Oryctolagus cuniculus: one gene and its partners. The protein of the gene in region 1 purifies or fractionates together with the protein of each later gene. This does not show direct contact. Links are inferred from orthologs where the notes say so. Each region holds a gene or a part of one and is shown in the gene's direction. Other genes may lie near its edges. The genes, in order: CLSTN1, KLC1 and APBA2.

Region 1 (3,329 bases):
GACCATGGCACCGTGGGGCCTGAGCATAGAGGATTCTCGTAGAACCCACGGGGGAGTCTTGTCAGTACAGCTCCCGAGATCAGAAGAGGCAGCTGGGGCTCGCCTGCCCTAAGGTGCAGCAGTCTCAAGGTGACAGCAGGAGCTTTGATGTGTGTCCCATACCCGGGCCCGGGGCCCTCCGTGTGCTCCCCCACGTCCGAGGCGGAACGATGCCCGCCTGGCGCCCGGCTGTGGGGCGCGGCCTTCCCGGAGCGTCCTGCCCAGCAGCCCGCTGGAGGTCGGTGGACCCGATGTGTGCTCTTGCCTTGTTTGAGTGTGACCTGTGATTTGGCCAGGAGGGCGCGGGAAGCAGTGCAGGGGGTGGCGTCTGGGACACGGTGACCAAGCCCCAGCTCGTGTCCGCAGCGGTGGCAGCGGCGGGGGGGACCTCTCTCCGCCTCCCGTCCGGCCGCCCGGTCCTGTTTGCAGCCCTAACCGCCTGGTCGTCCTCTTGTCTCTGTCTTGCTTCTCCACAGAGTATTCAGGAGTTGAAAATGACACTGACACTGAGCCCGTGACTTTGGCCTCTGCAGGTTGCTGGATTTTTGTTCCCTACAGTCCGCCACCGTGTTCCATTCCAAGATAGACGGGACTCATCCCACATGTCGCATGAAACGCCGCGGTCGCTCGGGGCCAGGCCCCTTCGGGCTGCGTCCCTGCATCGCGCTTCCCCATCGCTTCGTGGGGTTTGCCTCTGCTGCCCACCCCAGCCCAGCCCAGTGAGGGCAGATGACTCACCCGTGCCGCGCGCTCATGGGTCCTGCCTGATCCCACCGCACACGGCCCCTCGCCTCTGTCTTGTGTGGTTGAACCGCAGGGACAGGGAGACCCGTTTCCGGATGTCGTGTCCTGATTGAAGCGGGGTTCTGTCTCATCTGTGTCTGCGTCTTGTTTTCCCATCACACCTCCGGGGCAGGCAGGGGTGCCTCAATGGAGGGACGGCGCTCGGCGTCGCCGCCTGCCCAGCCACCCCCATGCGAGTGTCCCCAGGGCATGTCCCTGGGGGGACGCGGCAGTGCTGGCAGGGTGGGGGGCACCGGCAAGGCCGGCTGCACCGGGGCATGGCTGGGCGCGTGGGCACTCTGCTGGCGCCGCTGGCTCCCGGTCGGGGACCCCAGCCCCTCATTTCTGCAGGCCACATGCATGATCATCCATGACTCACCGTCCACATCGCCTCCCATGTAGATCGCAAGGCTAACAGGGTTTGGCGTGAACTAACCTGCATGTCCATCCACCGAGCTGCACCGCCAGTAACCGTGCCCGGAGACGCTGCCCGGCGCTCGCTCACGCCCCCTCTTCTCCCCTGCTCCACAGGGGGTGACCTGCGCATGACTCAGTTTTTCCGAGGAAACCTGGCCGGCCTAACGATCCGTTCCGGGAAGCTCGCGGACAAGAAGGTGATCGACTGCCTGTACACCTGCAAAGAGGGGCTGGAGCTGCAGCTGCCCGAAGACAGCGGCCGCGGCGTGCAGGTAGCGCTGGGCTGCGGGAGGGGGCGGCGAGGGCCGTGTCTGCGCCGCGCACGCCACCGCTGGCGCCGGGTGAGCGCTGCCTCCGCGGGTCCCCGAGCGGATCCATCCCAAGCCGTCCCCTTTGCCGGGGCCATCGGGTGTCAGCTCCTTGCACCTAGAACCCGTTCTCCTCTCTCTCCGTCGGCGGTGACTTCAGATCCAAGCAAACCCCGGCCAGTCCGTGCTGACCGTGGCGGGGGACGACGTCGGGGAGCTGGAGAAGGCCCTGCAGCACGTGTCCTACGTGAACTCGCGGCAGTTCCCCACGCCCGGCGTCCGGAGGCTCACCCTCACCAGCTCCGTCAAGTAGGTCCCCCGTGGTGCTGCGTGGGAGGAGGCGGCGTGGGTGTGAGTCTTGGAGACAACCCAGCAGCCCCCCCCCCAGAGGAAGGGCGTGAGCGAGAGGCGCGGTGTGCCCGCCATGCTGGGGGCTGCCGCCCGTGCCATGCCGTGTGTGTGGACGCTGCCTCTGCGGCTGCTGTGCGTGGGCTCCCGGAACCCGTCACCCTTCCTTTCCCGCCGGCAGGTGCTTTAATGAGGCCGCCTGCATCTCGCTGCCCCCCGTGGACGGCTACGTGATGGTTCTGCAGCCCGAGGAGCCCAAGATCAGCCTGAGCGGCGTCCACCACTTTGCCCGCGCAGCTTCGGAGTTTGAAAGTGCGGAAGGTGTCTCCCTCTTCCCCGAGCTCCGGATCGTCAGCACCATCACGCGGGAGGTGGAGCCCGAGGGGGACGGGGCCGAGGACCCCACAGGTGAGACCCCCCCACACCCTCCTGCCATCCCTCGCCTGCAGGGCACTTTCTGTGTGCGGGCTCTGGGGGTATTTTCTCACTGTATTGTGGTTCCTCGGTCAGTTCCAGGATTGATCTGGGGGCTGGGGGTCGTTCCCTGTGAAAACCCACGCAGAGAGGGCCCTTTCTTCTTTGTCTGGCTCTCCGAGGTGTGTGGCTCGAGGCTGTCGGCCCCCGAGGCCAGAGGCCCCGCTGTTCTTGGTGGGGGTCCTTAGGGACCCGCAGGTGGTGAACGCGACTCCCTGACATCCGCCACGGGGCCTTAACGGAGCCGTGGGGGTCGCTGCCAACGCCGGGCCTCACAGCCGCGGTCACTTCTGGTTGGGCCGCTTTTGCAGTTCAAGAGTCCTTGGTGTCGGAGGAGATAGTGCACGACCTGGACACCTGTGAGGTCACGGTGGAGGGGGAGGAGCTGAACCCGGAGCAGGAAAGCCTGGAGGTGGACGTCGCCCGCCTGCAGCAGAAGGGCATTGAAGTGAGCCACTCCGACCTGGGCGTGGTCTTCACAGGTGAGGGGCTGGGCGGGGCCTCCCACAGGGAAGGTGTTCCCCCCCCCCCCGGGGTGTGCACTCGGCCCTGCCCGGGTCCTGGCCCTGCCCGGGCCCCTGGTTGAAGCTGCCAGCAGGCTTCTCGCTTCCTCCCTGCAGGCGTGGACGCCATGGCCAGCTACGAGGAGGTCCTGCACCTCCTGCGCTATCGGAACTGGCACACCAGGTCCTTGCTTGACCGGAAGTTCAAGCTCATCTGCTCGGAGCTGAACGGCCGCTACATGAGCAATGAATTTAAGGTGGAGGTGAGTACAGCGCCCCCGCGAGAGGAGCCAGCAGCAGGGACACGGGGCTCCGGGGCCCCCAGGGTCTGAGGACACTGCCGTGGAGAGCGTCGGTGGAGGCAGCGGTGCGGGGGGCAGGCCGGGTGGAGCGGCCCCTGGCGTCCTCAGGCCGGGAGCTGTTTGGACGGCGGGCGGCAATGACCACCCCCGGCTGC
Region 2 (4,333 bases), on another chromosome or scaffold:
AGCATCTCGGAGTGAAACCCCAGGACAGGATGACCTGGAGACCGCCGCGCCCTGGTGCCGCCGCCAGGTGGGCTTCCTGAGGTCCCCGCTGGAGCTGCCGGGTGCTCAGGGCGTGGGGCACAGCACCCACATTTTGATCCAGGGCAGCGCCCCGGGGGCCCAGGCTGCCTGCTGATGGCTCCAGGGCTGAGCAGAACTCCTGAGGATCTTGACGGAAATCAGACTCACGGGGGTGGGAAATAAGCCCACCAGAGACCACCCGGCCTGGAAGGATGGACTCTGACACACAGGTCAGAGAAAAGCCAGGCTCTGTTCACAGCCTGGCAAGGGCGGGTGTCTGGGGACAGCACACTCAGAACAGGGAACGAGGCACACACACCTGCACACAAGTCCCTCCCCCCTCTCCTCACTGGCCGAGGATTGAAAAGTTCACACACCCTGATGCACAAGTCCCTCCCCCCTCACCTCATTGGCCGAGGACTCACAGGTTCACACACACCTGGTGCGCAAGTCCCTCCCCCCTCTCCTCATTGGCCGAGCACCCACAGGTTCACACACACCTGGTGCACAAGTCCCGCCCTCCCCTCTCATTGGCCGAGCACCCACAGGTTCACGGCCCACGCCCTTCCCAGCCGTCTCCCGCCCTCTGGGTTTCTCCTGTCTCAGAAGCCGGCCGTTTGCTGTCCCAGGTCAGCCCCTGTCCCCGCCAGGAGCCAGCCTTGCCGCGCTAACACCCGTCTCGTGTGTGAGCCCTGCGGGTGTGGCCGCGCCTGCTGTGTGTGAGCGGGTGTGGCCGCACCTGCTGTCCGAGGGATGGGTCAGCGTCAGAGATACTGTGCAGCACCAGCCTGGCCTCAAGCAGCAGCCAGCACCCCCTGGGGCGGACGCGGACCGAGAGCCCGGCCGGCCCAGGATCTGCGGGGAGCCTGCCCTGCCTGGATGCGGTACCTTTGAGAAGGGACCGTGCACTTGCCTCCCACGCCCCTTCCCCGTGCAGGCTGGGGAAAACCTTTGGCAGCAGGACTGGCGGAGCTGACGGTCTGCTGTAACCCGGCTGCAGACCCGACGGGTGGTGACCGAGTGTGCAGTCCCGACGCCGTGAGGCGACGGGGCTCCTGTGGCTGCACGGTGATCTGAGAACCGACCCTTCCTCATTCCCCGCGAGGGGAGGGGTGAGGCCAAGGAGAGCCGGGTCAGGGGCTGAGGGGACGCAGGCCCTCCCTGCCCCAGTGCCCTAGGCTGACCACACAGAGCACGGGAGGCTGGTGCAGGCGGGGAAGGCTTCCTGGAGGAGGTGCCTCGTGGCTGAGTCTCGGAGTGGCTGGGGGAGAGGGGCATTTTAGGCAGAGTGGATAGCATGGACAGCGGAGCGAACCCAGGGGCAGGGGAGGGTGGCAGCCCCGGTCCTGGGGCCCTGCAGGCCAAGCTGAGGAGTCTGAACCTGACGGCAGTCAGGACGCGGGAGCGGTGGGCGCCACGGACGCGTCCGCCTCTCCCCTGCCCGGCGCCGCCGGGTCCCTCCTGCCGGAGGACTGTCTCTGCCCGGGGACCTTGCCGGTGCTGCCCGTCGGCGTGGCCTCGCCCTAACCCTCAGTGACGGAGGGAGCCGCGGGGGCACTGGCATGGGTCAGAGGTACCCAGGGAGCGGTGCGGGGCCGCCGGGGGTCCTCGGGGGGTGCCGAGCCGGGGCGCAGGGCGCGAGCAGGGGGACGCCCGGCCGCCGTGACCCCCGCGCGCGGGGCCGCACCGGCTCGGGCGCGGGCCGACCACAGCGCCGAGGGCGCGGCCCCGCGCCGGCCCCTGAGTCAGCGGCGCCCTCGGCCGGCTGCTGAGTCAGGCCGCAGCGGGGATGCGGCGGCCGCGGGCACCGCCCTGCGGGCCCGGCCCGCACCCGGGGGGCGGGCGGGGCGGCGTCCGCGCCGGGGGGCGTGAGCGCCTCGGGGCGCGCTCGGGGGCGCACGGAGCCGGCGCGCGGCCCCCGACCCCCGCCCGCGGCCGCTCCCGGGGAGGCGCGAGTGACGTCACGCGGGCGCGCGGCATTGTGGGCGGGCGCGACGCGGAGTCGCCATTTTCGGCGGCGGCGGCGGCGGCGGCGGCGGCGGAGCGCGCGGCCGGGGCGAAGCTGCGAGGAGGGAGGCGTCGGGCGGCGCCGGCGGTGCAGAGCCCAGCGCCGGGCCGGGGATGCGTGGCGGCCGCTGCGCCGGCGCCCCTTCCCCGTGACCCGCGCCTGAGGCGGCCGAGGCCGCTCCCCGAGCTGACAGCGCGAGAGCGCACGGCGGCGAGCGGGACGGTGAGTGCCCGGCCCGGCCCGGCCCGGCCCGGCCGCGCCCGGGGCCCCGCAGGGTCGGGTCGCCGCGCGCCGGCCGCGCATCCCCGGCCCTGCCTCCCGGCCCCGCCCCGCATCCCCGGCGGGGTCCGAGCCCGCGGGCGGGGGCGGCGCGGCCGGCGCTTTGTCCGAGCCGGCGCTGCCTTCCGCCCCCGCCCGCCCGGCACCGCCCCGGCGAGCGCTGTCAGCCCCTCGGAGCGCCGCGGCGGGCCTGACGGGGGAGCCGGCCCCGCCGTCGGTGTGGACCGGCAGAGCGGGCGGAGCCGGCGTCCGGGCGGGTGGGCTGGGAGGACGACGCCCTTTGAGGTGCGGGCACCGGAGGCGCAGGCGGAGCGCTCGGCCCGGTGGGCGGAGGGCCGGGGCTTGTGAGAATGCACGGCCGCGCGGACTCGGCGTCTCGGGTGGTGTGGAATTGGGTGTGGGTGTGGGTGTGGGTGTGGGTAGCGCAGCCTCCCGGTGCAGCCGCGCCTGGCAGCCGGCGGGGCGGGGAGGCCGGGGCGCCTGGCCGCAGCCCCTGCAGGGCCGAGGGCCGAGGGCCCCCAGGGGCAGGGGCGCCCGGCGACAGAAGCTGCGGTTCAGATTTTACGTTCTTGCGGTGCTTCGTCGCACTGGAGAGGGAAGGCCCTGTCACTCTCCGTGAGGGCTGGAGAATAGACGAGGCAGGACAGGGCAGAGCTGAATGAAACGCAGGCGTGGCGCAGGCTGGCAGCGTCCTCAGTGGGTGGGTGGGTGTCAGGCCGGCGCTTCGCGGTGAGGAAGCGGTCAGCGCCTCCACAGAGCAGGTGCCGGGCAGTGAGGATTGTGCAAGCTGGACGGAGCAGGTGCTGCGCCGACGGGCAGCCCCCGGCGGCGGTGTCCACCAGCAGCAGGCCGCCTGGCCTGGGCAGCACCCCGACTCCTCATGGCAGTGGTGGGGAGACGCTCCGCGGCTGAGCCCAGCGGCTGTGCGGGGGCAGCTGGCCCGGGAGCCGGGTGGGGGCGGCCGGATTAGCGAGGATTGCAGGGGTCACAGTGACCTGCCCTGGGGTGCAGGCCGAGCAGCCCCGTGAGAACCCCGGGCAGATGGCGCGGCCCTCCGCCGAGGTTGCCCAGTGTCCCCCAGCACCCCACCTCCTCTGCCGCCTCTTGTGCCCAGGCTCGGGGGCCTCCAGGGCACCTGCCCCGCCCGACCCCCCCAGCCTCCCTCTGTCTAAACACCGTCACCTGGTGGCGGCCGCAGGGCGGGTTCTGTCGGCCCGCTCAGCGGCAGTGCCGCGCGCCTCATCCATGCTGAAGGCCTGCGTCTCCAGCGGCTTCCTCCTCTCTGGCTTGCGCGGCTCACTTCCCACCAAGACGGGCAATGGGAACAGGACGGAAGCAAGTTTGGTTTTGGATGCCTTAGATCCCAGGCGCTTGTGGGACCCCAGGCGGCCCAGTCGGCGGTTGGGAGGGGTCCGGACACAGGTGGGCTGGAGGTCGGGACTGGAGAGGCTGTATCCTGCTGTGAGAGGCCAGTGGCGTCCCGACGTCCAGCCGTGTGGAGAGGCCCTTGGGAGCCAGGGGAAGGGGAAGGGGTCGCGTTCAGAGTGGCTAGGCGGCCGGAAGGGCTGAGGAGAGCTCAGCTGGGTTAGGTGGTGGCAGTTGCTAATGACTCAGGTTCCCTTAGAATTCCCCAGGAGGCTGGCTGTCTCCTGCAGCCCTGCTGTGTCATTCTGCTCCCCGTCTCGGGTCAACAGGGAGTTACAGTTTACTTCGCCTTAACTGACTTTTGGAGGCAGATGGAGGGACTTGGTCTGCTTTGAGTGTCCCTGGCGTACTGCCTCCACTTTTAAAGGATGAACGGGACTTCCGGCTGAGTTGCGGTGCAGATTGAAAGCAGCCGGTAGGGCGGTTGTGCGGGCTGTGAGTGAAGCTCCGCTCGGGCGTCCAGTTCCTGCTGATGCATCCTGGGAAGGCAGCAGATGTGTGGGAGGCGTGGATGGAGCTGGGGTCTGGGCCAGCCTCAGCTGTTGTGGACATTTGGGGAGT
Region 3 (3,639 bases), on another chromosome or scaffold:
CCACCTACTTCAGCATCCAGTCCTTGACAGAGTGAGGCACCGCTTCTGGGCAGGAAGAAGTGAGATGGACTAGAACTTCTGGAAACAGTGCCAGGTTTATGGGCGAGTTTAGTCTCTGACCAGCCATCCTGGGACGCGGGGCTCTCAGTCTGTTCTTTGCAGGGTAGCGGGATATCCAGGAAACTAGTGATGTCTACACTTTGCTGCCCGTCGGAGTCGCCTGGGCCATCTTTATACCCACCGATGCCTGGCTCCCACCTGGAGCTTTCTAGTTTTATTGGCATGAGGTATGCCCTGGGCTTTAGCCTATTTAATAGGCAGCAAAGTGTAAAAACCACTGGGCCAACTATTTGGGGGAAAGGTAAGCTACTCCATACCTTATATTGTACGCCTCTCAGTCGGGGTGAATATGTGAATGTAAAGAATGAAGGATTCCAGCTAGTGTCCAGATTTGCTTGCTTCCAGGGAAGATGGCCCCTCCCATGAGAATCTGGAGCATGGAGCTGGGAACGGCTCTTTGGAATCATCCTGCCAGTTTCAGGGTTTCGGGTCATTCAGAGCCTGCAGGGTCCTTCCTGGCGTGGGATGTGCAACGTCGTGGGCCACTCTGGGCACACGCCGCGAGGCTCTCCGAGTTCTAGCACAAGCTGCGTGGACAGGCAGCGTCCGTGCCCTTTAACTCACGCACTGGAAGCAGGTGGCTCCGTCAGTCACTGTGCTCACACCGCGTGCCCGGGCTGCATGGAAGAATTGTCCCCTTCTCAGCTGTTCTGGGGGTGCTCGTGGTGTGACCATGCCCGTCTCGGGGTGGGCTGTGACTGGGGCTGTGCTGGGTGCTCTGCGGGACACAGGACGCAAAACTTTGTGGTTTATGAGCTCCCTGGGGAGAGGGTGCCAGGAAGAGGATGTACAGTGAGGTGGGCCTGGCGTCTGGGCAGTGACCATGGCAGGATCACTCCTGTCCACCCCCGTGCCCGCTGCCACCCCAGTACTCACTGAGCTGCTGTTTCTCATTCCTCCTCCCTGCTAAGCACCTGTGTCTCTTTTAATTCTGATGTTTAAAAATTGTAGTAAAATAGACATAACCCAAAATGTAAATGTGGGGTCATAAGCATTGTTAAGTCCATCCGTCAGTCCGTTCTTCCTTCCTTCTCTCTCTCTCTCTCTCTCTATTTCAGGGCAGAATGAGAGAGTGAGAGCAAGAGAGACAGAGTGAGGTCTTCCATCCACTGGTTCATTCCCCAAATGGCCACAATGGCCAGAGCTGAGCTGATCAGGAGCCAGGAGCTTCCTCTGAGTCTCCCACATGGGTGCAGGGGCCCAAGCACTTGGGTCATCTTCCACTGCTTTCCCAGGCCATAGCAGAGAGCTGGATCAGAAGTGGAGCAGCCAGGACTTGAACTGATGCCTATATGAGATGCTGGCGTCACAGGTGGAGGCTTCGCTCACTATGCCATGGTGCCAGCTTCAAGCTCTTATTTCTCAATGAGATTTCTAGAACAAGGCTTAAAAATGCATAAGTATGTGTAACGTGAAGGTGTGATTTAGAGAGTATGGCAAGCATCTGAGTAGCCATGCAGCTGGAGAAATGGAGCACGAAGCCAACCTCCCAGCACCTGCTGCGCCCTTGCTTGCCCCGGCTGCTTGCTCCCCTTGAGAGAATGGTCCCCTTCCTCCAGCTCTTCTACCCAGTGACCCTGCGTACAGAGTCCTGCATCCACAAGGTCTTTTCTGGACCCCTGGGTGCCGTGAGGCCTGCGCTGCAAGCTGGGGCCATGCCCACAGGCCCATCTCCTCCCCTGGGCCAGGCAGCAGCCTCCTCCCAAGCCCGAGCTGAGCTGCTGTCCTGGGGGCTCTGCCAGGTCACCTCCTGCACATTCAGGGCCCTGGTGAGCGCTGCTGGGTTTGGGGTGAGGAGGGGGGCGGGGTGGGACAGGCCTGTTGGGGGCAGACTTGGTTATCGTGACTTACTATCCAACTGTCTTTAAAATTCATTATGAAAGTAATAGATCCCGTAAGATACAAAGTCTGAACAGTGCTTGAAGATGGAAAATATAGACAGTAGCCTTCCTGTCCACCTCCTTACTGCACTTTATCTATTTAATTTTTTTAAAGTCGTCACGTGATGATTGTACACACTGGGGGTGTCATGTGGCACCTCCACGTGCCCATACCCGTGTCATGGAGCACGGGTGTCACCTGGGGGATTTGGGGCCCCTCCTCGTGGGTCTTCACTGCGCCTTCTGCCTGAATGCTGCTTTGTCTCTTTCAGAGCAAATGGCCTGACTGTGGGACCCTCTGTCTGGGGCATCGAGGGCAGGAGTCAGGAGGGAGCCGGTGGGTTCCGGGGCAGACGCAGGCGTGCTGGTGCGTGGCCAGCCTTGTCTGCCTGCCCCCCGCTCTCCCTGGCACCAGCACACCTCGTTCTGGCCGGCGAGTCTGATGGCGTGGGGAGGCCCAGGCTGCAGCAGTGTTGCTCACGTGCGGCTCCACGCAAAGCTGGTGGCCAGCGGGGGAAGCGGCCGTGTGCTGCTGGGGTTGACGGTGCTTCCTGGGGTCTGACTCTGCTCTCTGTGCCTCTCCTCCCCACAGTGGCTGCCTCCAGGGGATGATGGCCGCGTGAGCGTCCGCCATGGCCCACCGGAAGCGCCAGAGCACCGCCAGCAGCATGTTGGACCACAGGGCCAGGCCGGGCCCCGTCCCCCACAGCCAGGAGCCGGAGGTTGAGGACACGGAGCTGCCCCTGGAAGGCTATGAGCCCAAGGGCCTGGAGGTGGCTGCGCTGCAGCCTGAGGAGCAGGAGTGCCACAGCCACAGCCCCGACGGGGACTCGAGCTCCGAGTACGTGAACAACACCTCGGAGGAGGAGGACTATGACGAGGGCCTCCCGGAGGAGGAGGAGGGCGTCACCTACTACATCCGCTACTGCCCTGAGGACGACAGCTACCTGGAGGGTATGGACTGCAACGGCGAGGAGTACCTGGCCCACAGTGCTCCGCCCGTGGACACGGACGAGTGCCAGGAGGCGGTGGAGGAGTGGACGGACTCGGCCGGCCCGCACGCCCTGGGCCACGGGGCCGAAGGCAGCCAGGGCTACCCTGATGGCCACCTGTCCATCCCGGAGGACGAGCCCTCTGTCCTGGAGGCCCACGACCAGGAGGACGCCGGCCTCTATTGTCCCGGCAAGGAGGGCTACCAGGACTACTACCCCACAGAGGCCAACGGCAACGCGGGCGGCGCCTCCCCTTACCGCCTGCGCCGTGGGGACGGGGACCTGGAGGACCAGGAGGAGGACATCGACCAGATCGTGGCTGAGATCAAGATGAGCCTGAGCATGACCAGCATTGCCAGTGCCAGTGAGGCCAGCCCGGAGCACGCACCGGAGCCAGGGCCCGGGGACTCCACGGAGGCCTGCCCGCCTGGCGAGGCCGGCCGTGGCCCCAACAGGCACGAGGCGAGGCCCAAGTCGCTGAACCTCCCTCCTGAGGCCAAGCTCTCCGGGGACCCCCAGAGAGGCTTCAAGAACAAGACTAGGACCCCAGAGGAGAGGCCGAAGTGGCCCCAAGAGCAGGTAGGATTCTGCTGCCCCAGGGAAGGGGGCACAGGGACCTGGGGGTTGGTGCGTCTTTGGGGTGTTGC

The links.
Region 2: the proteins of CLSTN1 (region 1) and KLC1 purify together in Homo sapiens (co-immunoprecipitation; 3 studies listed by BioGRID and IntAct, with this or other methods). This does not show direct contact. The link is inferred for Oryctolagus cuniculus from reciprocal best matches to the Homo sapiens genes CLSTN1 and KLC1.
Region 3: the proteins of CLSTN1 (region 1) and APBA2 purify together in Homo sapiens (affinity purification with western blotting; 3 studies listed by BioGRID and IntAct, with this or other methods). This does not show direct contact. The link is inferred for Oryctolagus cuniculus from reciprocal best matches to the Homo sapiens genes CLSTN1 and APBA2.

Annotation. Positions count from the first base shown.
Region 1 is NC_091438.1:158,404,355-158,407,683, forward strand, and holds part of CLSTN1 (calsyntenin-1), read left to right. Parts: intron 1-515; coding exon 516-572; intron 573-1,353; coding exon 1,354-1,511; intron 1,512-1,707; coding exon 1,708-1,856; intron 1,857-2,076; coding exon 2,077-2,303; intron 2,304-2,680; coding exon 2,681-2,851; intron 2,852-2,989; coding exon 2,990-3,135; intron 3,136-3,329. UniProt on the Homo sapiens protein: Postsynaptic adhesion molecule that binds to presynaptic neurexins to mediate both excitatory and inhibitory synapse formation.
Region 2 is NC_091451.1:46,419,581-46,423,913, forward strand, and holds the start of KLC1 (kinesin light chain 1), read left to right. Parts: upstream 1-1,423; 5' UTR 1,424-1,622; coding exon 1,623-1,633; intron 1,634-2,073; exon of another isoform or gene 2,074-2,290; intron 2,291-4,333. UniProt on the Homo sapiens protein: Kinesin is a microtubule-associated force-producing protein that may play a role in organelle transport. The light chain may function in coupling of cargo to the heavy chain or in the modulation of its ATPase activity.
Region 3 is NC_091443.1:11,725,802-11,729,440, reverse strand, and holds part of APBA2 (amyloid-beta A4 precursor protein-binding family A member 2), read left to right. Parts: intron 1-2,592; 5' UTR 2,593-2,632; coding exon 2,633-3,571; intron 3,572-3,639. UniProt on the Homo sapiens protein: Putative function in synaptic vesicle exocytosis by binding to STXBP1, an essential component of the synaptic vesicle exocytotic machinery. May modulate processing of the amyloid-beta precursor protein (APP) and hence formation of APP-beta.